Struthio camelus: one gene and its partners. The main gene of each other region encodes a partner of the protein of the gene in region 3 in a complex. Links are inferred from orthologs where the notes say so. Each region holds a gene or a part of one and is shown on either strand. Other genes may lie near its edges. The genes, in order: NTSR1, SORT1 and NTS.

Region 1 (7,905 bases), on a different chromosome or scaffold from region 3:
CAGACTGCAATTTTTACAGGCCTGTGCTATGCATCTTATTTGCCCTTCACCGAACAGCACAGTGAACATCTGGTTGCTTATCGGCCACCAAAGCTATATGGAAAGAGGTGGGATGCTTCCACGCGGTGCATGAACGCGTAGGGGTGTTTGCATGTGTGTGTGTGGGGATAAGGAGGTCGGGCTGCTCGATTTACTTTCCAAACCAGCGTTTGGTCTCTCCTCTTTGCCACTCATATAGCGGCGTGCTCAGACTGAAGGAGTCTCAGCAGGTTTCCGTGCTATGAAAATCACAGGCAATAAATATTGCATGTGTCAACCAGTTTGATTTAAATACTCTCCTTAAATCAGCTCAGTCAAACACAGTAAACAGTATACAGCAATCAGGAACCTTTTATTTTTCATCTAAACAAGCAATACTTTATTTTACAACATGTGGAGTGAGGGGAGAGGAGGAAGATGCACTTCCATGCCGGTAAGTAACGACACGGTCAATATTGCCATCAACAAAGCTGATATATGACCCTATTTCTACCACCCCTTTATCCTTCACTGTTTTTTTTTTTTTTTGCAAGTATAGCATCCCTAAAGTAGCCTCATGTCCCCCAGGATTTTACGTGCCAAACCCACTTCATAAGCTCCTGACTTTTAGGGATGTTTGAAGAAGGGACAGCCCCTCTATGCTGAGCCCCCTGTGAATTGTTTTTAAAGGCTTGAATAAGCCCAGCCTTGCCTGACTCAGGACCCTGCTCTAAACCCCGTCTTTAGGATTGGGTGCTGGGTCCTCAGCAGGGAACAAGGCTAACACCTTTCTCCTAGCACCTGTCTCTTGCAAAACTTTCTGTCTGCTGCTTTCTGTGTCCTTCAGAAAAATCCCATCTGGCGAAATCGGACTGCAGTAGGTTAATACGAAAAATTCCTAGCAGTTCCCAGTTGCAACAGGAAACAGCAAAGATGAAAACCACTTAGGTCAACATAAAAGGGAGCGAGGCAACCTATGGGCCTCACATCCTGGGCACTGTGGGACCCTTTGCTCAAAGTCCAGGTAATTTTAATAGACAAGGTCTTTGGGTGACATTTTCCTCCAAGATTTTAAGTAAATGCCTTGCTGTAACATTTGAGATCTGGCGTCTCTTGGTTTCCATGACTTTTTTTCTTTTTAAGCCACAGACACACACATACAAAATATATTAAAACGAGCCCAGCTTAGCAGAAAGGTCGGCTTGTTCGGAAACAAACAGCAGGGATTTAGGCTGTAAGCTTTGGTGCACACTAAATGAATGGGGCATCTCCACTGCTGCTTCTACTTGAAGGGAACATGGTGAAAAGCCTGGCAGGGATCAGGGGTGCAAGAGGGAAGAGATGCTCATTTCACAATCCCATATACCACTTCGCACATCCCTCAAGCCATCGATTAGCAATGGAGAGGCTAATAGTCGTGCTGGGCACGTCCTACGCAGCATGGCAGGAACGTGGTCGGTGTCCCCCTTGCAGCAGCAGTAGGTGTCCTGCTCCATAAGGAGGTGAGGACAAAAGGTAGAACCTGTCCAGACAAAAAGCTTTCTAAAAACAGAGAGGAGAGGTTGAGCCCTTTCTGTCAAGAGAAGGACAAGACTTACTTTTATTTTCCTCTTTGCATGAAGTGATCCACACTTTCGCTCTGAATATGACTGAAATAAGCTAGGTTTTAAACCCATTAGCAGGGCAACAAGATTCCTATTATATTTTTTCGTATGGTTTTGTTCGCCTTTTAAAGCAGCAAGGCCATCCTGACATGAAGCTTATGTTTTAAAAGGTCCAAGACAGCTTCAAGTCTGGTATTGCTCTCGCTGCTCACTTGTTATAGCCAAGAAATGCTGGTGATAATATCCTGCGGGACTAAGGAGCATCCTCTGGAAGATTTCAGGAGTTTTCTTATGAAGAATTGTTAAACAGGACAAGAACACACATTACTTCTGTGGGTCTGCCCAGGGCTGGCATCTTCATCCCAGGTTATTCTTCTCCTCCTTTAGCTTCCTGCAAGGTAGGTCCCCTTCTGATGCTTAGGATTTGGCTTCTTTTTATGCCTTTGTGGGGTGTTAATCATGGCTTTGTTATAGTAATTCTGTCTTGATACACTGCTCTGGATATACAAAGAACCAGAAGAAGCTCAAGGTGTAACCCCACAGAATGTGGCTGGGCATGAGCGGAGGGCACTTTGTTGAGCGGGAGCAGTGTCAATGCTGCATCTCAGGAGACAGGCTCTGGAAAGCTGGCAAACATATCCCTGACTGGGGTAAACTGGGACAAATTCATGGACACCGATGTACTTTTGAGAGTCGCATCATGATCTAGTCATGTGCCCAGGCTCAGGGATGGCCTTTGGCAGAGAAGTGCAGGCTGAATGGGTGTGGGTGGGAGAGGAGCAGTGTCTTGGTAGCCTTTGTATGTAGCCTCATCTGCCAGGGACACCCAAAGAAGAGTTGGATAAGCCTCACGTCCTTCCTTCCAGGCATCGACTTATGCTAGAAGACAGGGACACTCATTTAACCATGAGGCACACACAGCAGCTGTGAGACCACTCTTGGGATCTTCTGAATGAGGTGATTTTATCCCAGGCCATGGGATAAACTCAGATCGATGAGAAAAAAAAACTGCCCCTGCTAGTAAAAGTGCTTCAGTTGCAGCTGAAACAGGCTTGCCAAGCAATTAATGGAATATAATAAATTAATTAACTCATAGAAACATCCTGCTGAAGCATTTAGTGATCAGAGCACCCAGCCTTTTCATTACGGATATGTATTCTTCCAATGCACTTTACAAAAGGAGATATCTTGCAACAAATACTGGCTGTACTGGCCTGTTAAAGTGTCGATTTTAAATCAAGAGTCACATTCGTTACAGGTAGCTGATATTTCAGTGTGTAATTAATGTTATTTTTTTGACTATATCTGTTGATATTGCCTGCCAATATTCAGCTCGGAGGGAACATGGAGGAGGCGATGCGTTGAGCACTTGGGAGCAGCTGCTAGGACAGAGCTGGAGATGTAATATTTCCCTTGTAATCAGTCTTGTTTGCATTGTCTGTGCGCAGAAACGTGAGGCAACAGAGTCCAGAACAGGGTATTTTTAGAGACAGCTGTTGATATAAACATACATATACATATAATTTAAAATTAGACCAGCAGATAGGCATCTTGTTTCTGAGGATACCAATGGAGAAGAACATGCTTCTCAGTCGTGGTTGGCTCCTTTGGACATCGGTCAATCAGCATGACCGGTCACTTGCTTCATGTCCCACTTTCCTTCCTCAGCATGAATATTCTTGATTCATCTTGAGAACCCATCCAAGAAACAGAAACAACTGGTGAGACCAGCTGGGAACACCAGCCGTGACGAACCAATCTCCAGTAATGGAAATTTCATAACTGAACCTTTTAAATGAAAGGAACATTGGTGCTAAGAGATTATTAGTCATTCTTTAAACTAGTGTGGGATGAGTGATAGAAAATATTTCTCTCCATATTTGTATTACTGAGTATGATTAAATAAATCTGATTTTGTTTAGCCTTCCGTGGAGATCCTATCTGCTAAAGCTAATAGGAGGAAAGTTTGGGGACGTGTTGACTCTTGGCGGACAGCTGTGGAAAGTTCACAGTCTGCGAGCACTGATGATGTGATTGACTGCAGGACTAGATATGTTCTTGCATCAAATAGCTAGATGGTCTGTAGGACATCAGCACACTCAGTGGGCCCACGGACTGAGGGAACCAAATACCAGTGTTTGCTAATGAATAAACTGAACAGTTATGGCTCTCTTTGGCCAAATCAATGATTCCTTGGAAGTGATTTTTCCAGATCTCTTCTATGCACTTCTAAAGACCCTTATCAAAAAGACAACTGAATGAATAACCAGCTAATGAGTTTTGCAAGGCAGCTGGTGCAGTGTCCCTGGCCTGAAAGGAAGTATTCCCTCTGTAGACTTTGAGTGCCTCTCCCTGTCAGGCACCCCCTTGTTGCCCTCGGCATGGCCACGGCACCCCTCGTCCCTGCTCAGCCCCTCTCTACACGCTTGTGCCTGCAACTGGGCTGCTTAGAGAGGACCTTAAATGCCCAAATTCGAGGGTTTAGGATGGGGGAAAAGCTGCTAACGGGGACCAAAGTGAAGCAGCTCACTGCTGTCACTACTGTGCCATTGGGCTGAGGGGGCATCAGGCAGATTAGGGCAGAAGCAGCTCTTTTTAGGCGGCTGTTCCCCTCCTTTAAATGCATTTCTCCTTGCAGCAGCAGCAGCAGCAGCAACAGGACGGGTGTTTGGGGGCTGCGGTGATGCCCAGGGGTGATGGAGCATCCCTGGTGCCTCCCCTCTGCCCAGGGTGGGGGTGGCAGGGCTGGGTCCCCCCTCCAGCTCCCGGCCGGGGGAGCCCCGTGTTCTGCCTGCATTTGCTCGGGGTGGAGACGAGGGAAGGGGGGTCCCTGGGGGGGGTCTACCCCCGAGGGCTCTGCGGGCTCCCCCGGGAAGCGCCCTCCCAGCGCCGGGAAAGCCCCGGGGGGGGTGGGGGGGGCGGCGCGGCGCCTCCCGGGTGTGGGTGTTTGTGCGTGTGTGTTTGTGCGTGTGTGTGTGAGTGTGCATGTGTGTGTGTGTGTGTGTGTGTGTGTGTGTGTGTGTGTGTGCGTGCAGGGAGGCTCCTGCCCGGCCGGGGCACATGTGGGCAGCTGCAGGGAGGAGAGCGCCGGAGCTGCCGGCTGATCGCAGCTGACAGCGCTGCGAGGCTGCTCCGGCGTGTGCGTGTGCGTGTGCGTGTGTGTGTGTGTGCGTGTGCGTGTGCGTGTGCGTGTGTGTGTGTGTGCGCGGCTCTCTCTCTCTCTCACACACACACACACACACACACACACACGCACACACAGAGGCAGCCCGGGAGCTGCAGGCGCCTCCTCCCCGACGCATTAAAGCGAGCCAAGTTTCCACGTCGGGGGTTAGTGGCACCTCGGGGCGCAGCCGCGGACCCAGCCCGGCGCCGGGCTCTGGGCAGCGCCGGGCGGGCTCGGGCTCGGGCTCGGGCTGGGCTCGGGGCTGGGGCTGAGGCTCGGGCAGGGGGATGCACCTGAACGCCACGGCCCCGGCCGTGCCGGGGGCAGCGCCGGGCGGCCCCCTCCGCCTGCACCCCACGGGCTATGCCCTACCGGCCGGCAACGCCTCCAACCGCTCCGACCTGCTCCCCAAAGGGCCCGATGAGGAGGACCTGGACGTCAACACCGACATCTACTCCAAAGTCATGGTGACGGTCATCTACTTGGCTCTCTTCTTGGTGGGCACCGTGGGCAACTCCATCACGGCGTACACGCTGGTGCGCAAGAAGTCGCTGCAGAACCTGCAGAGCACCGTGCACTACCACCTGGCCAGCCTCGCCTTTTCCGATCTCCTCATCTTCCTCCTCTGCATGCCTATCGAGCTCTATAACTTCATCTGGGTCCACCACCCCTGGGCTTTCGGGAATGCCGTCTGCAAGGGCTACTACTTCCTTCGGGATGCCTGCACCTACGCCACGGCGCTCAACATCGCCAGCCTGAGCGTGGAGCGCTACATGGCCATCTGCCACCCCTTCAAAGCCAAGAGCATCATGTCCCGCAGCCGCACCAAGAAGTTCATCAGCTGCATCTGGATCGCCTCCTTCCTCCTCGCCATCCCCATGATCTTCACCATGGGGGAAATCTACGGCAAGGACCAGAAGCCTGACTCCCTCATCTGCACCACCATCGTGGACGCCTCCACGCTGAAGACGGTCATCCAGGTGAGGATCCAGGCGATCGGGCGCGGGGAGCTGCAAACTTTGCAGCGCCTGCTCGGGCCGGGTGGGGGAACCGGGGCTGGGGGGAGGGGGTAGTGACGGGGGGGTCCTGGCAGCCCCAACGGGGCGGCCAGGCGGCACTGGCGGCAGCGGGGTCCACGGGGGCTCGGCTCCGTGCCCGACCTGCCCCCTCTGCCAGGCGCCGGGCTGGGAGCCTGCACCAGGCTGAACCCGGCTGCAGACCCTCCGCAGCGCCTCTGCTCCCCGGGCTGGGCTGGGGTCTAAAGCTGTCTCGGGCCGGGAGCCCCCCTTAATGCAGACCCCGAGCACCGGGACCCCGGCTCTGCCCTGGGGCTGGGGCTCCCTTGGCGGCCCCGGCTGCCCCGGGGGTGCTCGGGTTCTCCCCAAAAGTAGCAGTTCATCGCCAGAAAGCCCACAAATCTCCGCCCTTTCTCTGCATTTTTATCTCCTTTCCTCTTGCTGGAGAAGGGGCCAGCACGAGCAGGGAAAACAAAACCCTCACTCCCCCTCTCCCAGTTTCTTTAGTTGATTCATAGCCCATTTCCTCTGTGTAGTAACAGATCCTAATTCCAGAAAGTTTGAGGCACAGGCTGCAGCGCAGGCATCCCAAAGGAATGGCACCTCCAAAGCCAAGAGCTGGTATTTTTGTTGCTTGGGGGAGATGTGCTATAACTAGCAGCCCCCCAGAAAGGCTTTGGGGGTCTCCACGCAACAGCTGATCCCATAGTCCCACGCGTGGAAGGGATTTTGGATTTCAGCATCGGCACCATCACCACTGCGCAGGGCTCAGGGGGTCTTGGGTATTTGTTTACTGGAGCATCAGGCTTGAAAAATGTAAGAGAGCTGGGAGGAGAGCTGGAAAGAGCAAGGCGCGAATGTGCACAGCTCCTTTGCCGCCAGGCTCACACGCAAGGGCTTTTCAATCTTTTATTTTGAACATGAATTTTAGGTGGTTTTAATCACCAGCCGGTTAGAATTTAAAGCTGCATGCGTACTAAATCCTTTGAAATGTGCCCACGGTTAGGGGGAGGAACTTAAATGGAGGCAAATCAGAACCATTTCTTCTAGTGAAAGTGGACAAAGGTAAATGCAGTTAGATTTAAAATCAGAGCCTTTAGATGTTTAGACATCTCTGTCCAAGTTTCAGGTATATCGCTCCAGCAAACCAAAGTCGAGCCCCCACAGAAGCACTGAAAAACAGCTCTGATTTTTGTCTTGATACCAATGAGGCTCTATTTTTCCTGTAAGTGCTTTGTAGATTTTGTCGGTGCCAGCCCAGTGTACTTAACCCAAATTCTCTACTCTCTACAGAGACCTGAGCTATCCAATTTGAGAACAATGTGGCTGAAATGTATTATTTCCAGCCATCTTCCTTTTAGGATTAAACTGGTGCTCAGTATTAATATGATAGGGCTAAAGAGATAGGATTATTTCCCAGTCACATCTTCTGAGATTACGGTTTAAACAATTCTGAGCATATTTCACAGTATCACTATTATTCCGTATATACCTTATCCTGTTATCCAAGTAAGCAGACAGACATTAAAGCATAGCATGTGACGTTCTCACGTGCTTTACCTTCAATGCTGTTGGGCTTTTTGTTCTTTCTTTTTTTATTCCACTTGCGAATTAATTTGCAAGTAAAAAAAAGGAGGAACTTCACAGCTAAAAAAGGGGCCTTGGCAGCTGCTGAAAAAAACACCATACCTTTCCTTCTGGGGGGACCTAGCCCCAAATGTCGATTTGCTAACATGGGCAGCTGGTTTAATGGCCCCGGATCACTCCTCTTTTGCGCACGCTGAAGCAGCACGTAATGTGAAGCAGGTCCCTGGACCAGGAGAAGCTCCAGAGTGAATAAGCAAAGCAGCTGCAGGTCAGGTTTGAAGTGCATTAATGGAAAGTGTTGCACAGTGTGTGATCGGGCACTTGCACGTTGTTAGAACTAGGCTGTTCAGAGCTTTTAAAAAAAAAAAAAGAAATAATGGAAGATCCAGGAGAGAAAGAAAGGGCAGTGGTAATGCGGGACAGCCTGATGCACAAAGGTCTTGCAGCTAGGAAATCCTGAGCCCTGGGCTTTTCCAGCAGTTTCAAACTGTTTCAGAGAAGGTCTTTACATCCC
Region 2 (7,595 bases), on a different chromosome or scaffold from region 3:
CACGATCTGGGGCTAAACGCTCCGTCCATGCAACGCCTCTGTTGTGCAGCGGTGCGCTGACCTGGCAGGGCTCTTGCAAGGAGGGGCCTTCCCTCCTCCTGCTTCGCGGTAGGGGGAAACTGAGGCAGCAGCTAAGCGACTTCCCTCGGTGCCCTCGCAAGGACAGAGGCGCCTCGAAACGCTGCCGCTCGAGCCAAGGCGCCCGGCTTGTTCCCAGTCCCGGCAGCTCCGCGCGCACGGCTCGGCGGCTTCGGGACGCCTCTCCCAGCGGGAACCGGGGTAAGGGACGAGCAGGGGCCGGCGCAGCCCCGGCGGCTGGGGAAGGAGGGTGCTGCGAGCCCCGCGCTCGCCCACGTTAGCTCAGGCCTGCGGAGCCGCCGGAGGAAGGAAAGGAGGAAAACGGAGAGGCCAAGCGCCGCACAAGAGGCCGCCCGATCTCGCTCCCTGCCAGGCGGCCCAGGGGCCCGTAAGGGAGCACAAGCCGCGGCTCCTTCGCCCTGCTCTCCAGCAGGCACCGGCGCCGCAGGGACAAAACCCGGCCGGTCGCAGCGAACAAACGGGCGCATTCTTCTCCCCGCTGAGACGCCGCGTTATTACCCACCGTGGACTTTCGACACAGCCTGTTTCTCCAAGACACTACGTGTCTTTTGCAGAAGCTGCGGGCGAGCGGCTGGCTCGCGGGTTAAGGGAAAGGACGAGGAGTCAGGCCAGCCTGGCCCCCTTCCCAGCCCGGCTGGGAGCAGCACTCGCGCTCGGGCTGAGCTTCGCCTCTGCGGGACGGGGCTGCCCGGGTGGCAAGGCTGCCGAGCGCCTCCGCGGCGGCGAAGGAAATCTCCCGGAGAGGCCTGGAAGAGCAGGACGGGGCAGGGAGGTTGCCAAAACAGCACCGGCCAAGCTAAACACTCGCGTGTAATCAAGCAGCCGGATCCCAGCTTTCGGCCCAGCTCAAAGCAGAGCGTCGGCCGGTAGAGCCGGGCTCCAAACCCACTTCCAACCGCCAATTAGCAACCGGCCGGGCCGGCAGAGCGGGTGCAGCCGGCGGCTGAGAGGGCAGCGGCTACAGTCGCGCGGCGCGGAGCGAGCCTGCCAGATCTCGACCCGCAGCAACGCGCGCCCGCCTCTTCCCGAGTCTGCAGACGCGGCACCTCCGGTGCAACGCAGCGACGGCGTCGGCTTAGGCAGCTCTTTGCCCCGACGGGCCCTGGCTCGGGGCTGCCCCGGCCGCTGCCCGGCCCCAAGCCCGGCACAAGCAGTCCTGCGCGGCGGCCGAGCCAAGGGGCGCTGCCAGCCAAGGGCAGCCCGTACCCGCGGCATCCTCGGCACGGTTAATGTTCAACCCGGACGCTGGCACGCGGGCAAGCCGGAGCTGCCCGCGTGGATGAGTAACACCGAGCGATCGGCAAGGGCTGAGCAGCCACGGGGCCAAACGCCGGGGACGGGCTCCTCTCTCTGCCAGCACCGGGGGCATTTCCCGGCGCCGCGGAGGAGCAGAGGAAGGACCGAAGCGGTTCTCCCGCGGGTTTTAAGGTCATCTTTGCCAGCGGGAAATAAACCGGGCAGATTAGATTTTAGGTCGGCCAAATCTGGCGACATCGCTTAATCTCTCGCCCTCGCCACTCCCAAGGGCGGCGGGGAGGCGGGGGGCGAGCGCCCCGAGCCCGCCGAGCGGGGACAGGGACGGGAACCGCTCCGTCACCCGCTTGGCAGGAAGGAGCTGCCGGTCTGTCTGTCTGTCCCCTACCTCTCCGCCGGCGCCCACGCGGCAGGGAGCTGTCAGTCTGTCCGTCCCCGCAGCGGGAGGGCAGGACGGGACCGCAGGGCGGCTGCGATCCCGGTGGGACCTCCCTCCCGGCATGCGGTGGGGGGTCAGTCTGTCTGTCTGTCCTGTCCCTGCCCAGGGCGAAGGGAGAGGGAGAGCCTCAGGCTGGCTGGTTGTCGTCCTGCCCATCAGTCAGCCTGTCCGTCCGTCCGTCCAGGCAGCGGGCGCTCGCGCTGGGGGTCTGTCCACGGGAGGTGCCTCACCACCGGCCCGCTGCCAGTACCCGCCGGAGGGTGGGCGGGCGGCTGTCTGTCCTGGCGTTGCAGGGGTGCCTCTCCACAGGTCCCCTGCCTGTCCGTCTGTCTGGCTAGCTAGCTGTCCCCTCGTCTGCCCCCATCAGTGCAACGGGGGGGGGGTCTGGGTGTCCGTCCTGGAGCACGCGCCGGTCAACCTCTGTCAGTCCGCCCTGCCCTGCCCCAGCACGGACAGGGTGACGGCGCGTCCGTCTGTCTGTCTGCCCCGGTGGGTGCGGAAGGAGGATGGGATGTCTGTCCCTCTGTCCTGCTGCTGCTGGGGATCGCCTGTCTGTGCCAGGGACTACAGGGGCCGCCTGCCTGTCCGTCTGTCCACGCCTCCCCAGGGAACCTGCCTGCCTGTCCGTCTGTCTGTCCATGCCTCCCCAACAGACCTGCCTGTCCGTCTGTCTGTCCACGCTCCCCGACGGACCTGCCTGTCCGTCTGTCTGCCCATGTCCCCTAGGGGCTGCGGGGGGGGGGGGGGGGGGACTAGGAGGGAGGGACCGCCTGTCTGTCTGTCTGTCCGTCCGTCCTGGGAGCCGGGGGGGAAGGGGTCTGTCTGTCCCTCCCCACAGCTGCGCAGACAGCCTCTGTCTGTCCGTCCGTCCCTCCCGAGACCTGTTAGCGCAGCGAGGCCTGTCTGTCCCGGTACCTGCCCGGCCGGGGGGGGGGGGGGGGAAGCTGCCGGGGGCGGGGGGCTGCCGGGGGGGGGGGTCTGACCCTGCCGGTGCCTTTCCGGGACGGGGCGGGGGGCTGCCGGGGGGGGGGGGTCTGTCCCTGCCGGGGGGTCCCGCCCGCCCCGCTCCCGGCCCCGCCCGCTCACCTGGTGCGTGTTGTTGCCGAGGGCGGCCGGGACGCCGCGCAGGCCGCCGCAGGCCTCGCCGCCCGCCGCCGCCGCCAGGCCGAGGCCGCCGCCGCCGCCGCCGATGGCGCGGGGGGGGCGCGGGGGGGCGCGGGGCGGCGGCGCGAGGCGCAGCGCCAGCCCCAGCCCCAACGCCAGCGCCAGCCCCAGCGCGCGCGGCGCTGCCCCGCGCGGCCCCATGGCGACTCCGGCCGCCGCCCGCCGCCCCGCGCCGCCGCCCGCCCCCGCCGCGCCCCGTCCGCCCGCCCCCGCCGCCCCATTGGCGGCCCCCGCCCCGCGCCCCGCCCCCCGCGCCCCGCCCCCGCCCGCTTCGCCGCCGCGGTTGGCCGCGGCCGCCGTCGCTCCCTGCCATGGCAACCGGGCGGCCCGCCTCCCCGGCGGCCCCGCCCCGCCCCCGCCTCCTGATTTGCCTCTTCGCTTGCCAATCACCGCCGAGCCACCTCTCTCCTCCTTCCGTGACTGGCTAGCTCCCCACCGTACCCCTTGCGCGACTGCCCGCTGCCCCCGCCTCCCTTCCCCACCCCGCATTCTAGTCCACCTAGACACAGCCCTCTGATTGGCGGCGACCGGGGCCGCGGAGCGATTTTCTGATTGGCCGAGGTGGCGGGGCACCCTGAGAAGGCCCGCCCCCTCGCCCATTCACAAAGTGGGGGCCGGCCCACGTGGGCGGAGCGGTTGGGGGGGGGGGGGGTGCGAGGAGCCCAGGCGTCCGGCGGGCAGACCACCCCCCCCCCCCAAAAAAAAAAAAAACGGGCCTGGCAGGGAGAGCAGGGACCCCCTGCTCCCAGAGACACCCAGGCCCCGGAGAAGCCGCCCAGTAATGGGGGGGGACCCTGGCAAGGCAGCCCCGCACAGGGATGCTCAGGCCGGGCTTCACCCGTCCCGGTTTGGGGCCCGGTTCACGGCTCTGGGGGCCACGCAGAAACAACCGGCGGCCCCAGCGCGAGGGGCTCGCGGGAGCTCGCTCGACGCCACCAGGAAACGGGGGGCCGGAGGGCGTGCGGCGCTGAGCCGGCGGGAGGAGCGAGAAAGACAAACCCGGCGAGAGGAGAAAAGCGCGGAGAGAGGTCGCGGCCTGCGGAGGGGCCGGACGCGCAGCCGGCTGCGAGGGGCGCTTCCACGAGCGGGTTTAGCGGAGGGCAGCGACCCTCTCCTCCCGCCCCGGCTCGGCTGGCTGCGCGCTAGGGCCCGGTAAGGCTTCGCCTGGCACCAGCAAGCCGACGCCGGCGCCTTCCAGGTTGCGGCCGCTGCCCTGGCGCTGACGGCGCCCGCCGCCGGGGAGAGGGCCGCTCGCCGCACCGCGGGCGGAAAGCGGCTTCCCAATAAATTAAGCGACGGATCCCTTGGCGGGAGCCCGGGAAAGGAGGCGGCTTTGGATATCTGGCCGCGATCCCGCGTGAAAGGTTCATCCTCCCGTCAAGGGTAAGCCGGGCTGTGCAAGCGAGGAGGACGCTGGGGAAGCGGGCGAGGAACCCTCTTCCCTGACGCCTGCTCTCTCGGGCCGCGCAGACAGCGCTTGAGCCTCCTGCCACACCTAAGGCCGCACAAAGTTGAGATCAAAACGCACTTGGGAAAGTTCCTGACTTCTTTGCTACTCGCCCTCCAGGCCTTCATCCTTCCTCATTTGCAAAAAGAGGGTTTTCTTCTTACTGCTGTGTCATTCTTTTACTTTTTTTTTTTTTTTTTGCCCTGAAAAGGGAAAATCTGTGAGCTTGATGCATGAAAGACCTAAGGGAAGACACCTTTGTGACAAGCTGCCTGGGTGGCATCGTTCAACCGATAAAGAGAGCGGAGGCAGGTATCAACCACCCGCACGGGAGGTGCGTGCGCCCAGCTCTGTTACGCTCAGATCCTCTCTTGCGTTCGGACTGCCTGCAAAGAGCTCCGGCTTTTTTCCTTTCCCTCAATGGAGCCAAGACGGATCAGATATAAGGAACACAAAGCCTTGATTTTTCAGAGGAACCAGCTACCATGTGATGCTGCCACCAGCAAACCATGTGATTAGGGAAAGACATAAAGGACTATTTTCTGCTGGAGTGCCATGCTGGGAAGAATTAGCTTTTTGTGTTTTCTAGGACAGAAACAAGCCTAGAAAGAGCACTACCTCCGGGAACAGCAGGTTTCTTCATGTGCCAGGGTTTGCAGAACAGCTGGAAACGCTCCTCGGCTTCCCTTCCAAAGGAGAAGCAAGAGAACATGACCTAGCTTTGAGTGAATGTAAAGGCTTAAAATACTAAAGATAAAGGGTACTTATTTCTTCCACATACACAGTAGCTGGTACCAGTGTGAGCTGCATTTACTGGATGAGTTTATTAGGGCAACACATGGAGCAGCAGCCCCAATACCATCTCTGGCATGCCAAACATTCAAGGTAAGTGACCTCCACCCTGGACTTTCCCTCCTCACTTCCCAAGTTCATCTAGGGATGAAGAGTAGCATAGAGAGACCAGGGGCAGTGGTTCAAAGGCCATGCAAGCGGAGTGAAAGTTGAAGGACTTGTTTTCCCACATTAAGGCTACAAAGAAGTCTCCCTGAAGGGCAAAGTCCACCAGCCACTTGTTTATTCTTCCACCTGCAGATATAGATGCTGTCTTCAACTAGTATCACAAGACCTCAGGCATCACCTGGCTCTCCAGCTTGTTTCATTTGAACTCGTACCAACGAGGGGGGAAAAAACCTCACAGCAGAAACTCGTAGGAGCAAAGGCTTCTGCTATTCTGAAAATAGATGTTGTCTAAGGACAGATCTTCCAGCCATGTAGATCTGGTTGCCTTTCCAGCATCTGAAGGCATTCAGCAACAGCAAGAGAAGAAAAAAAAACTAACAGGATCGGCGTTTTCCATCCTGCGAAATGGCCGCGAGATCAGTCGTGTCAGTTTGCTGCAACTGTTTGGCAAAGCCAAACAGCAGTGAAATGTCTGCTGGAGGTCGGCAGTCAATCCCGACCTCTGAATTGAGGGGAAAGTTAGTCATTTCAGTCAAATGTAATGCTGGAAGCATCCCCACTTATCAGGCGATCCCCACTCCCAGCAGCAGCACGGGATCTGCTTCTTTCACAGAAGTCAGCGCTGTTTTGTTCAGGATGAAATTTTACCTTCTCCAAATAGGGAAGAGAGCGGAGCAGCCTCGGGGAGACACAGCCTCTGCTGCCTACAAAGCCACAGAACTGCATAGTCAACGTGTTACCAGGAGCCTCCTAACAGCAGAGCTGGTTTTCCAGTCTCAGAAGCTGCACTGGCCACGCAGTCTTGATTTCGCAGGAAAGTACTTTGCTAAACTCTGCTTAGGCCAGACTATTTTCATCTCAGTAGCAATCTTTAATACTCAGATGCTATTTCAAGGACAAAGAGGTGCCTGCAGGGGGTAACTAGAAACAAAAGCCCCATTAAGTAGATGAGCAAAAGTTCGCTGGTCAGAATGAAAATACTCTCAAAATTCAGTGACACCTGCCCAGGTCAACGAGTAAGGGGTTGTCCTCTTAACCTCAGAGCTATTCCACGCTTGGGGAACTCTGCTGTATCACATAGTCATTGCATGTACTTCCAAACTCCCATTCAGAAGGGAGCACAAACACCAAGCCTGCTTTGGGTATGAGCAGACCTAAAAAGCCCATGTAAAATTATACATGGGAGGTCCTGATGTGATATAGCCTCATTCTCCACGAGAGGGAGACTTGCTACTGGCATAACCAGCAAGGGCTCCTGGAGCAGCCGCCGCGTCTGGAAGGCGGTTAGGAACAGCGCCGTCCAGAGAGCGATTCCCAGAGAACTCTGCAAGCCCGGCACGCGCTGCTTCGCCCTGCAGCGATGTCAACAGCAGATGTTGTCCTCACCTGCTCCTGGGTTTTGCTCTAAACGGTCGAGCACTTCCCCACCTCAGACCTCCATCCATTATGAGGAACCCAAGATAGAGTAACAAAATGATTTATTGTCATTTCCTCTTATTGTAGAGATCAGTTATGTACAGAAACTGTAAAAAAACCTTAAGAGCCTTCTAAGAAGAGCAAGTACAGATGCTGCTGGAAATAAAATCACAGGTACTGGAAGGAACCGAGAGTCAGTTCACTTTGATTGGGGAATGAGCCTTTGAGGGGGTCTCTCTTTTTCAAATATCCTTGATGACCTCTTCAAGCTCCTCTTTCGTATACATGTGGAACTTCATTCCCGGCTCCACTGTGGCAAGCTGAAAGAGAAAGAGCAAGGGGTTAAGCGTGCCTGCATATGTGAAGTGACAGCATGGGGCAGGGAACAGAGAGAAGCCACAGCAGACAGCAGCTGTTCCTTCTCAGCTGCTTGATCTGCCAGCCCAGCAAGATCATTCCACCCTGTAACATGCTCTTTGATTCCCCAAAATAGCTGGCTGCCACAGAAATAGCTTTTAATTGACTCAATCTCCTCATAGTAGCAGCAGCCGGGAACGTCTGTTGGGCTCAGGCTCCGCTTCTGCTTGCTGCGGGGAGAGACCCTGTTAATACTAGCTCTTCATCAAACACCTCTTGGAAGAGCGGTTCCTCTTGCTGCAGTTCAGGGTGGCCCCGCGCCTGCAGTGCTTGGTAGAAATATCTCTTTGCTCAGATTCAGGAGGCAACACTGAGGAGCCAGAAGGACCACTTCTCCTCCAGTAATGAAGGGTACAAGTCCTGGCCTGTTACACGCTTTAAGAGAACAAAGCAAAATAC
Region 3 (6,963 bases):
CCTGGAAACAACACAGATGCATCACTGCAAGGTTATGCCCAGAGCTATTAGACTCTATCTCTCACCTAGTCTCCTTTCATATAATAGACCACCTATTCCCCAAGTCCTCAGAACGGCCTTCCTGTGGGCCCGATGTAATATGAATAATTGTACAGTATACTCCGGATAAGAAATCTCATGACTTAACTACCTTAATCCTTAATGCTTACCACTAGCTACAGGAAATAGCTCTCTGGCACATTTTAGGATTTTGCTTGCCTTTTGTGGTTGAAAAACCTTCGTATCTCATAAGGCTGATGTCAGCTAGGATGACCAAGTCCTACATCTCCTCAAACACTCCCAGTCAGTGTGCTTCTGTTATAGATGGAGTTTTTAACAGACACTTCCATTATTTTCCAAGCTACCACACTTTGTACTGTTGCATTGCTTCCCCTTTTCATTACTGAAGTCATCAAAAACTTCTCTGTGTTACGACAATCTTCCTCTCTACTGATGCTCATGTTCATCTTTGTGTTACTAGAACACTACAATTGCTCGCTCTTACTTTTTGCATTGAGGTCACTATTGAAAATATTGAATACACCAGTATTACAGAAAGTCAGTAGTAACTTCTCTCTCGCTTAATGCTTTCCATTTCAGCACTACCTATTGACAATGCTACCTCATCTCTTAAACGCTTGACCACTAACAGAAGCTGTACACGTAGTGCCAGATCTGCTCAGCCTAATTTTTACCAGTGATAGCAGCAGCTCCTGGGAATAGGGGAGCAGCCCATGTGGGATGGCGTCCTGAGTTGTGGTGCATGTCCTGGGTCTTACGAGCTGGGGACAATGAAAGGACGCGCGTCCGGTTAGCATCCTGGTTTTGAAATGCCAGGGGGGATGGCAGAAGGCTGGGCAAGTGGAACGCTGCACTTTATAGTTAGGTATTAAGAAACGTTTTGATTAAGCAGTCTGGAGAACATTACTTAGGAGACTGTTCCAGACTCCTAGAGTGAAGAAGGAAGCAAAGCTTGGGTGCCTATTCAGAAGGCAGCACATGCAGAGATAAAAGAGGAATGAAAGAGGCAGAGGAGGTAAAAGCATTAACAAGAACAGACTCTCAGAAAGCACTGAATAGAACATCTGATTATATGTTATTATTCATATCGGCAGAAAATCCACACACTTTGCTGTCCTCTTAATCATTCACTACTTACTGACAAGAAATATTGCTTCTATTCACACATTTGCATTCTGCAAGAATAGCTAAATTCCACAAGAACACACTTTCCCCTGAGGGCAAACATTTTCAAAAGAAAATTAAACTGAATGATCATTTTCTTTACAACATAATTGTCCATATTAATTAAAACTGACTCAGCCCTTCCAATGGTATTTCTCATTTAAATATAATTTCAAATTTTCAAGCAAATGAAACATCATATCAATTAAATATACAATTTGGTTTCTTTTTTATGAGCTTATTTTAATTTCCACTTAAATCTTTGCCTTTAATGGGCTTTCAGTCAGGCTCTACAAACAGTAGAGTAGGATGCTCTTCTCTGAAAATATTAACCATGTCTTCACTTAAAAAAGCTTTACATATATGGGGAGGGAATGATAAATATTAAGCATTGCCACTAAGATTACGGGCTCTCTAAGACACACAGAATAATTATTTTTGAACTGTGATGAACATAAAATGCAAGTGTTGTGTGCTACCTTTTTCTTCTGCAGAAATGTTCATCTAAAAGGACAATTATGAACTCATGAATCCTCCTGAAGCTGCTTGTATATTTACTCTTCTAGATTTTGCGGAGTTAAAAATTAAAGTAATTCACAAGTTAGTAAGATTGGGTTTTGAAACCTATCTTTCAAAATCTATGTTTCTGACACCTGTTCTGTGTCTGTATACAAACGAACATGTTTAATTGCCACTAAACTGTCTTTTTTGTCATACACACATGCACACACACACACACACACACGAACACACACACAAACTTAGCTGTGTCGTTTTCCAAGGGCGCAAGCAATGCATTTTAATACATAGTCCTCTTTTTCAGGTTTCAAAAAAATATATTCTTCGAATAAAAATACACTTATATTGAAATTCCTATTGCATGATCTGCATCTGCTTCAGCATTTTTTGTCATCATTTCAGACCATAATTTTACAGTTGCTAGCAATTTTTTCCAGAATCCTAAACCGTACTTCAGGGTAACTAAAGGGGTCTGACGTAAAACCTGAAGTGCACATATAATCATGTTGATGTGTATTATGGCAGGTATTCTTAGGGGCTGTAGAAACTGTAATTTCTATGACAGTTTGGAAGTGGAAGGTGTTCAATAAATTACAGATGAGGTAGCAGCGTGTATAATTAAGTGGTCTATGCCGAGATACGTTTCTCTATGGCTAGTCTACAGTAACAAGCAAAGTATTGATGCCCTCTTCGATGCTGTCTGAAGGAATGGCCAATACGAAGGCAGAAACTTAGGGGAGCGGCAGAGGAAGGGATGCTGGCCGGACGGCTGTTACCAGCGGCGGCCCCTTGGCACCCGCTGGACGTAGCCGCGTTAGCCCCAGGTGAGCTCGGCTCGTCTCCAGCCCCGCTGCAGGGGCCGGCTGCGCCTCAGCTCCGACTGCGGAACTTGGGCCGAGAGAGTTGGGAGGAGAAGAGGCGAAAGCGGCGCTCGCCCAGCCGAGCTGCGCAGGTGCGGGACCCTCCCGGCGCGGGGTCTTACCTGAGCAGAGGCTGCAGGCGGCCAGGGCCAGCAGCGCCACGCACACCAGCTGGGCTCTCATCCTGCCGCGCCGCCGCTAGCAGGGCAAGCCCATAAATCCTAGGGAGAGACGGACAAGAGAGACACACAGAGAGACACACAGAGACCGCGCGGCAGCTCCGCTCCGCTCCGCTCCCTCCCGCGGGCGGCTGCCGGGACCATGCGGGGCGCCCGGACCCTTCCCCAACTATATAAGCCGCGGGGTGATGTCACGGCAGCGCTGCCAGCGCCTCCTGAGGAAGCGCCCTCCCTCCTCTTCCTCCTCCTCCTCCCCCCCCCCCCCCGCCGTCGCGGCCGGCCCCGCCGCCGCTCCGCGCCGAGGGGCGCTGACGCCATTCGCCGCCTGACGCACGCGGAGCCCCGCGGGGGTGCGCGGAGCACCGCGGCGGCGGCGGGGCGGGGGGGGGGGGGGGGGAGGAGGCGGAGGAAGCGCGCAGCGGCTCCGTCGCCCCGCACGCACCGCTGCCCTGCGCCGCCGGGGACGGGTCGTGCCGAAAGGCGCCGCTCCTCTGGCCCCGAAAAGCGTTATTTTATTTATTTATATATTTTAAAGTAGTTGCTGGAGCAGCCGGTGCGCGGTGAGGGGCGGGAAGCAGCGGTGGCGAAAGCGCGGGCAGTGCGCGCAGCGCCGAACCGCCGGTTCCGCCGTTGCTCGGGGAAGCGCGCAGCGAGCCAGGGCAGCGGGTGCGCGGGGTGAAGCGATGCCGCCGTGAGCGCGGAGAGGCGGAGGGGAGCAGCGCGGGAAAGCGCACGCCGTGCCCCAGCCCGCTGTTGTGTCGGCAGCCTGAGGGCTCCCACAGGGCCTTCTCGTAAAATTTACTTTTTTTCCAGTTGAATTTTCACAACACCGGTAGGGTTTTGTTTTGTTTGTTTGTTTGTTTATTTATTTATTTTTTCCCTCCGCAACTAATACGGACCTGACTTCGTGAACAGCACCCCGGGCTTCAGACACAGTGAAACGCGCCGGGGAGCCGGCAGCGCCCGCCGCGCTCCCCTCTCTTTGCTGCACGTCCTACCCTACAGGACAGCCAAAATCTGGTACGGGCTCTCCTGTATCCCAGTGCCTCAGACGTAAAAACGCAAAAAAATGATCCGAAGTAGCGGGTAGGGCAGGCTAATCTTTACTGTGTGAGGATGTAAGTGTAAAGCTGAAGGCTGGTGTCAGCCTCCATCACTATATTGCTTTTAGCGTGTTTTTTCTCAGATCCGGACAAATGCTCCATCTGTTGAATGCAGATATTACAATGTGGAACATTTTGATCTCTTGTGAATACATTTCAGGGCTGATGCACATGCCACATATAGCAGGAACACACTCGCTGACTAGTAGATTCTTCTGTCGTCTTCACTGCCGAAAGTTTCCTTTAAAAATCAAAGAGCAAATGTGAGTGATGGCAGCGATGAGTTCTGTTTTCCTCCTGTGTTCTCTCTGCCTGTATATGAAATACTGAAATAGATGCCACAGAAACAGAAAACACACAGTTTTCAAAATCCTGCCACAGGAAACACATAGTGAGAAGAGTTTAATTGACTGATGTCCTTCCACCTTGAATCATCTTTCGCAGCAGAACAAAATTTAGCTTTGGAAGTTCTTTTGTGTTATGCTTGAATAAATATAAGCAAGAACAAAGTTTAGTACAGGGCTGTGGTTTTAGATGTCTTGAGAACACAGATTTTTATATGCTATTGGGAATACAGCTTTCTGCTTTATTAAGCTGAGATTAAAAAAAAAAAAAATCACATTGTACAGGCTCTGCTAGTCTGCCAGAAAGTTTTAGCTATCTGCCTTAGCACGGAGGTTAGATTAGCTGGCTACTCACGCTCCCCTCTAGTCCTATTTTCTATTATTTCCATGATGTGGAAAGACCAATCTGCAGCTGATTTTGCTCTGTGGGTGTTCTGCAGTTCAGAAAGCTCTATGAATGAGAATCATATTTCATAGATATTTTCTAGTGCCTACTCTCTGTCACAGATTTCTTCAATAGTGTAATTGCCCATATTCTTATGTAACTGGAATTTATAGGACTGATAGGTTATTTTTTCCTCAGGAAGACAACAACTGTCAATTTCCCTGACATTAAAATCTGTGATCACCTAATTGTTTCTTTTTTTTTAAATTATTTTTATTTTTTTAATCCTAGGATTCCAATTATTAGTGATTCCAAGGGGATGAATGTATGGTATGTTATGACCTGTAATCTTTTTTATCATCGCTCTGTTTTTACCCTTTTCCTGGAAAATGACAGAGCAGAAACTTCAGTGCTCAGAATCTTCTTTGCTTTCTCATGATCTTGAAAGTTCTTGACATATTATCTTCAAGTGCCCTGGATCAGGCACGACTGAAGTCAGACCATCAAGCAATTACATCTTTTTCTCAATAGAACTGAACTATCTTCTATTCCTCAGTTACTCCTTTATTTATTTTTTCCAGCTCTTTCCTGCACTCGTGCTATCTTCTGCTGCCCCATTAACTTTTACGTAGTAGGAAATTTAACCATTTTTACAGTGCATTCCCCAAATCATCTTGACTTCCCCAAGTCATCTTCATATCACATTTTTCCTCATGAGAAGGGTTTATCTTGCAAAGGAGCATGCTCCAGGGATGATTTAATAAGAAAAAATATATATTTGCATCTCAGATCTCCTTCTTGTTGTGTTTCTGTTTTTGTTTTTGTTTTTCTTTCCTTTTTTTAGTATTTCTCAAGCTAGAGAAAACAGGCACAGTTCCTTGTTGGTGGCTGTCTGTGCGGGAATCTCAGCCTATCTTTATTTACCCTGAATGCATGACTTAAACAGCACACTTTAGCTCCATTCACAACTGTGAGGCATCTGAAGATAATGAAACAATCAGGACAAATGGCAGATCCATGAAAGAATAGATACATGGACCTCCATTTGCCTGGTCATTGGAACATAAAACTACCATCATAATGTAAGGATGACACCAAATGCAAAAGCTGTAATCACGAAACAGAAGGAAAAAAAAGCCATTTTACTAATTATCCTGCAGTAGCAAGTACTGGAGACTATATTTAATAAAGAACAGTTGATTCTCCAGTTGGCAAAGTATTATGGCTTGGGACCACAAATAAACACAGTGGGACTAAATGAAAGGCTCAAGCGGCTGAAGCTGCTGAAGTTTTGTCATTAAATATATTAATCTTGTCTGAGATTTTTCCATGAAATTATTTTGTAGCCAAATCTTGCTGCAGGTATAGAAGTTTGGCGCCTGGAAGAGGAATTGTCCTGGAAGAAGTCAGCAAGAAATTTTTTCAAAACACCAAACTGTGGCTCAAGATGCTGACTCACAATGTCACATTTGAATTTAGTTGTGGTGATTAAAGCTATTTTGTTCCTACACCAGCTTGACTATCAACAGTTTAGGTTAATAAAGAAGAAGAAAACTTTGGTGAGTCAAGTTCATTTCTGTCATGTCTGCTTGAGGGACGATAAGCTCCAGCAAAACAGCAGGACAGACGGGAAAGGGTATTCAAAACATATTTAAAGCATAAAGCATAGTCACACACTGCAGCTGAATTTCTAAGGCATTGCGAGTCCTCTGTGTCTCTTTCTCTGAGCTCAAAATATATAACTCAGGTTTTTGTTCTGTTTGGTCAGGACAGTGACTCTCATAGTGATGCTATGTTTACCTTCTGAAAATCCCAAGTCAGATCCTGGAGACCAGTTGTGCTGCAGGGGAGAACAGAAGCAGCTCAAAGGTAAGAGGAGCTGATCCTTAACATGCTGGGCCATTCCTAAGAAAAATGTTAGGCATGTGCTCTACTTCACATCTGATCTCCTTCAGTCACTCTGTGTCTTTCACTTTCTGAAATTTCCAGAATGTGTGCTCTTCAAGGAAACCCTAAGGAGGCAGCTGCATAATGTGCAAGAATTTTCTGTTTTAGAAAAAGCATCACCACATTAAGATCTGAATCAGTAATGTTTTTTAATATGCAGTGAATCTATCAAATATTGAGAAGAGCTGTGCATCAGCAGAAGCTTCTTGGACATCTAATGACTAAAGAGGTATTCCTTTGTGTTTTAAAGTTCGGGAGTCTGAAACTGTGAAACTGGCATTTTCTGTGTAGACTCTGCAGATGAGGACTACATGCTTGGCAAGGCTTCTTTCCTTGAAGCTTGGACACTTGAAATGGTAGTAACATCTTAATACCGCAGGGGATCATGATTCTCAAAGATTT

The links.
Region 1: the proteins of NTS (region 3) and NTSR1 are in contact, whole or in part, in a crystal structure (PDB 4BUO), measured with the Rattus norvegicus proteins. The link is inferred for Struthio camelus from reciprocal best matches to the Homo sapiens genes NTS and NTSR1. Residues at the interface, in NP_001095851.1 of Rattus norvegicus: Arg157, Arg158, Pro159, Tyr160, Ile161, Leu162; in NP_001102437.1 of Rattus norvegicus: Ser53, Asp54, Leu55, Asp56, Asn58, Phe128, His132, His133, Tyr146, Met208, Val224, Cys225, Thr226, Pro227, Ile238, Arg327, Arg328, Phe331, Cys332, Tyr333, Ile334, Ser335, Asp336, Trp339, Phe344, Tyr347, His348, Tyr351.
Region 2: the proteins of NTS (region 3) and SORT1 are in contact, whole or in part, in a crystal structure (PDB 4PO7), measured with the Homo sapiens proteins. The link is inferred for Struthio camelus from reciprocal best matches to the Homo sapiens genes NTS and SORT1. Residues at the interface, in NP_006174.1 of Homo sapiens: Leu152, Tyr153, Glu154, Asn155, Pro160, Tyr161, Ile162, Leu163; in NP_002950.3 of Homo sapiens: Val112, Ser113, Leu114, Ser115, Trp116, Lys260, Tyr304, Ser305, Phe306, Gly307, Leu308, Phe314, Ser316, Arg325, Ile327, Phe350, Tyr351, Ser352, Ile353, Tyr395, Gly399, Thr570, Gly571, Leu572, Ala573, Trp586, Trp597.

What each region holds. Positions count from the first base shown.
Region 1 is NC_090959.1:16,008,792-16,016,696, forward strand, and holds the start of NTSR1 (neurotensin receptor type 1), read left to right. Parts: upstream 1-4,826; 5' UTR 4,827-5,075; coding exon 5,076-5,768; intron 5,769-7,905. UniProt on the Homo sapiens protein: G-protein coupled receptor for the tridecapeptide neurotensin (NTS). Signaling is effected via G proteins that activate a phosphatidylinositol-calcium second messenger system.
Region 2 is NC_090965.1:4,135,236-4,142,830, forward strand, and holds the start of SORT1 (sortilin), read right to left. Parts: upstream 3,098-7,595; coding exon 2,879-3,097; intron 1-2,878. Other genes in the region: PSMA5 (proteasome subunit alpha type-5), read right to left, coding at 7,022-7,099.
Region 3 is NC_090942.1:48,243,451-48,250,413, reverse strand, and holds the start of NTS (neurotensin/neuromedin N), read right to left. Parts: upstream 3,043-6,963; 5' UTR 2,787-3,042; coding exon 2,726-2,786; intron 1-2,725. UniProt on the Homo sapiens protein: Neurotensin may play an endocrine or paracrine role in the regulation of fat metabolism. It causes contraction of smooth muscle.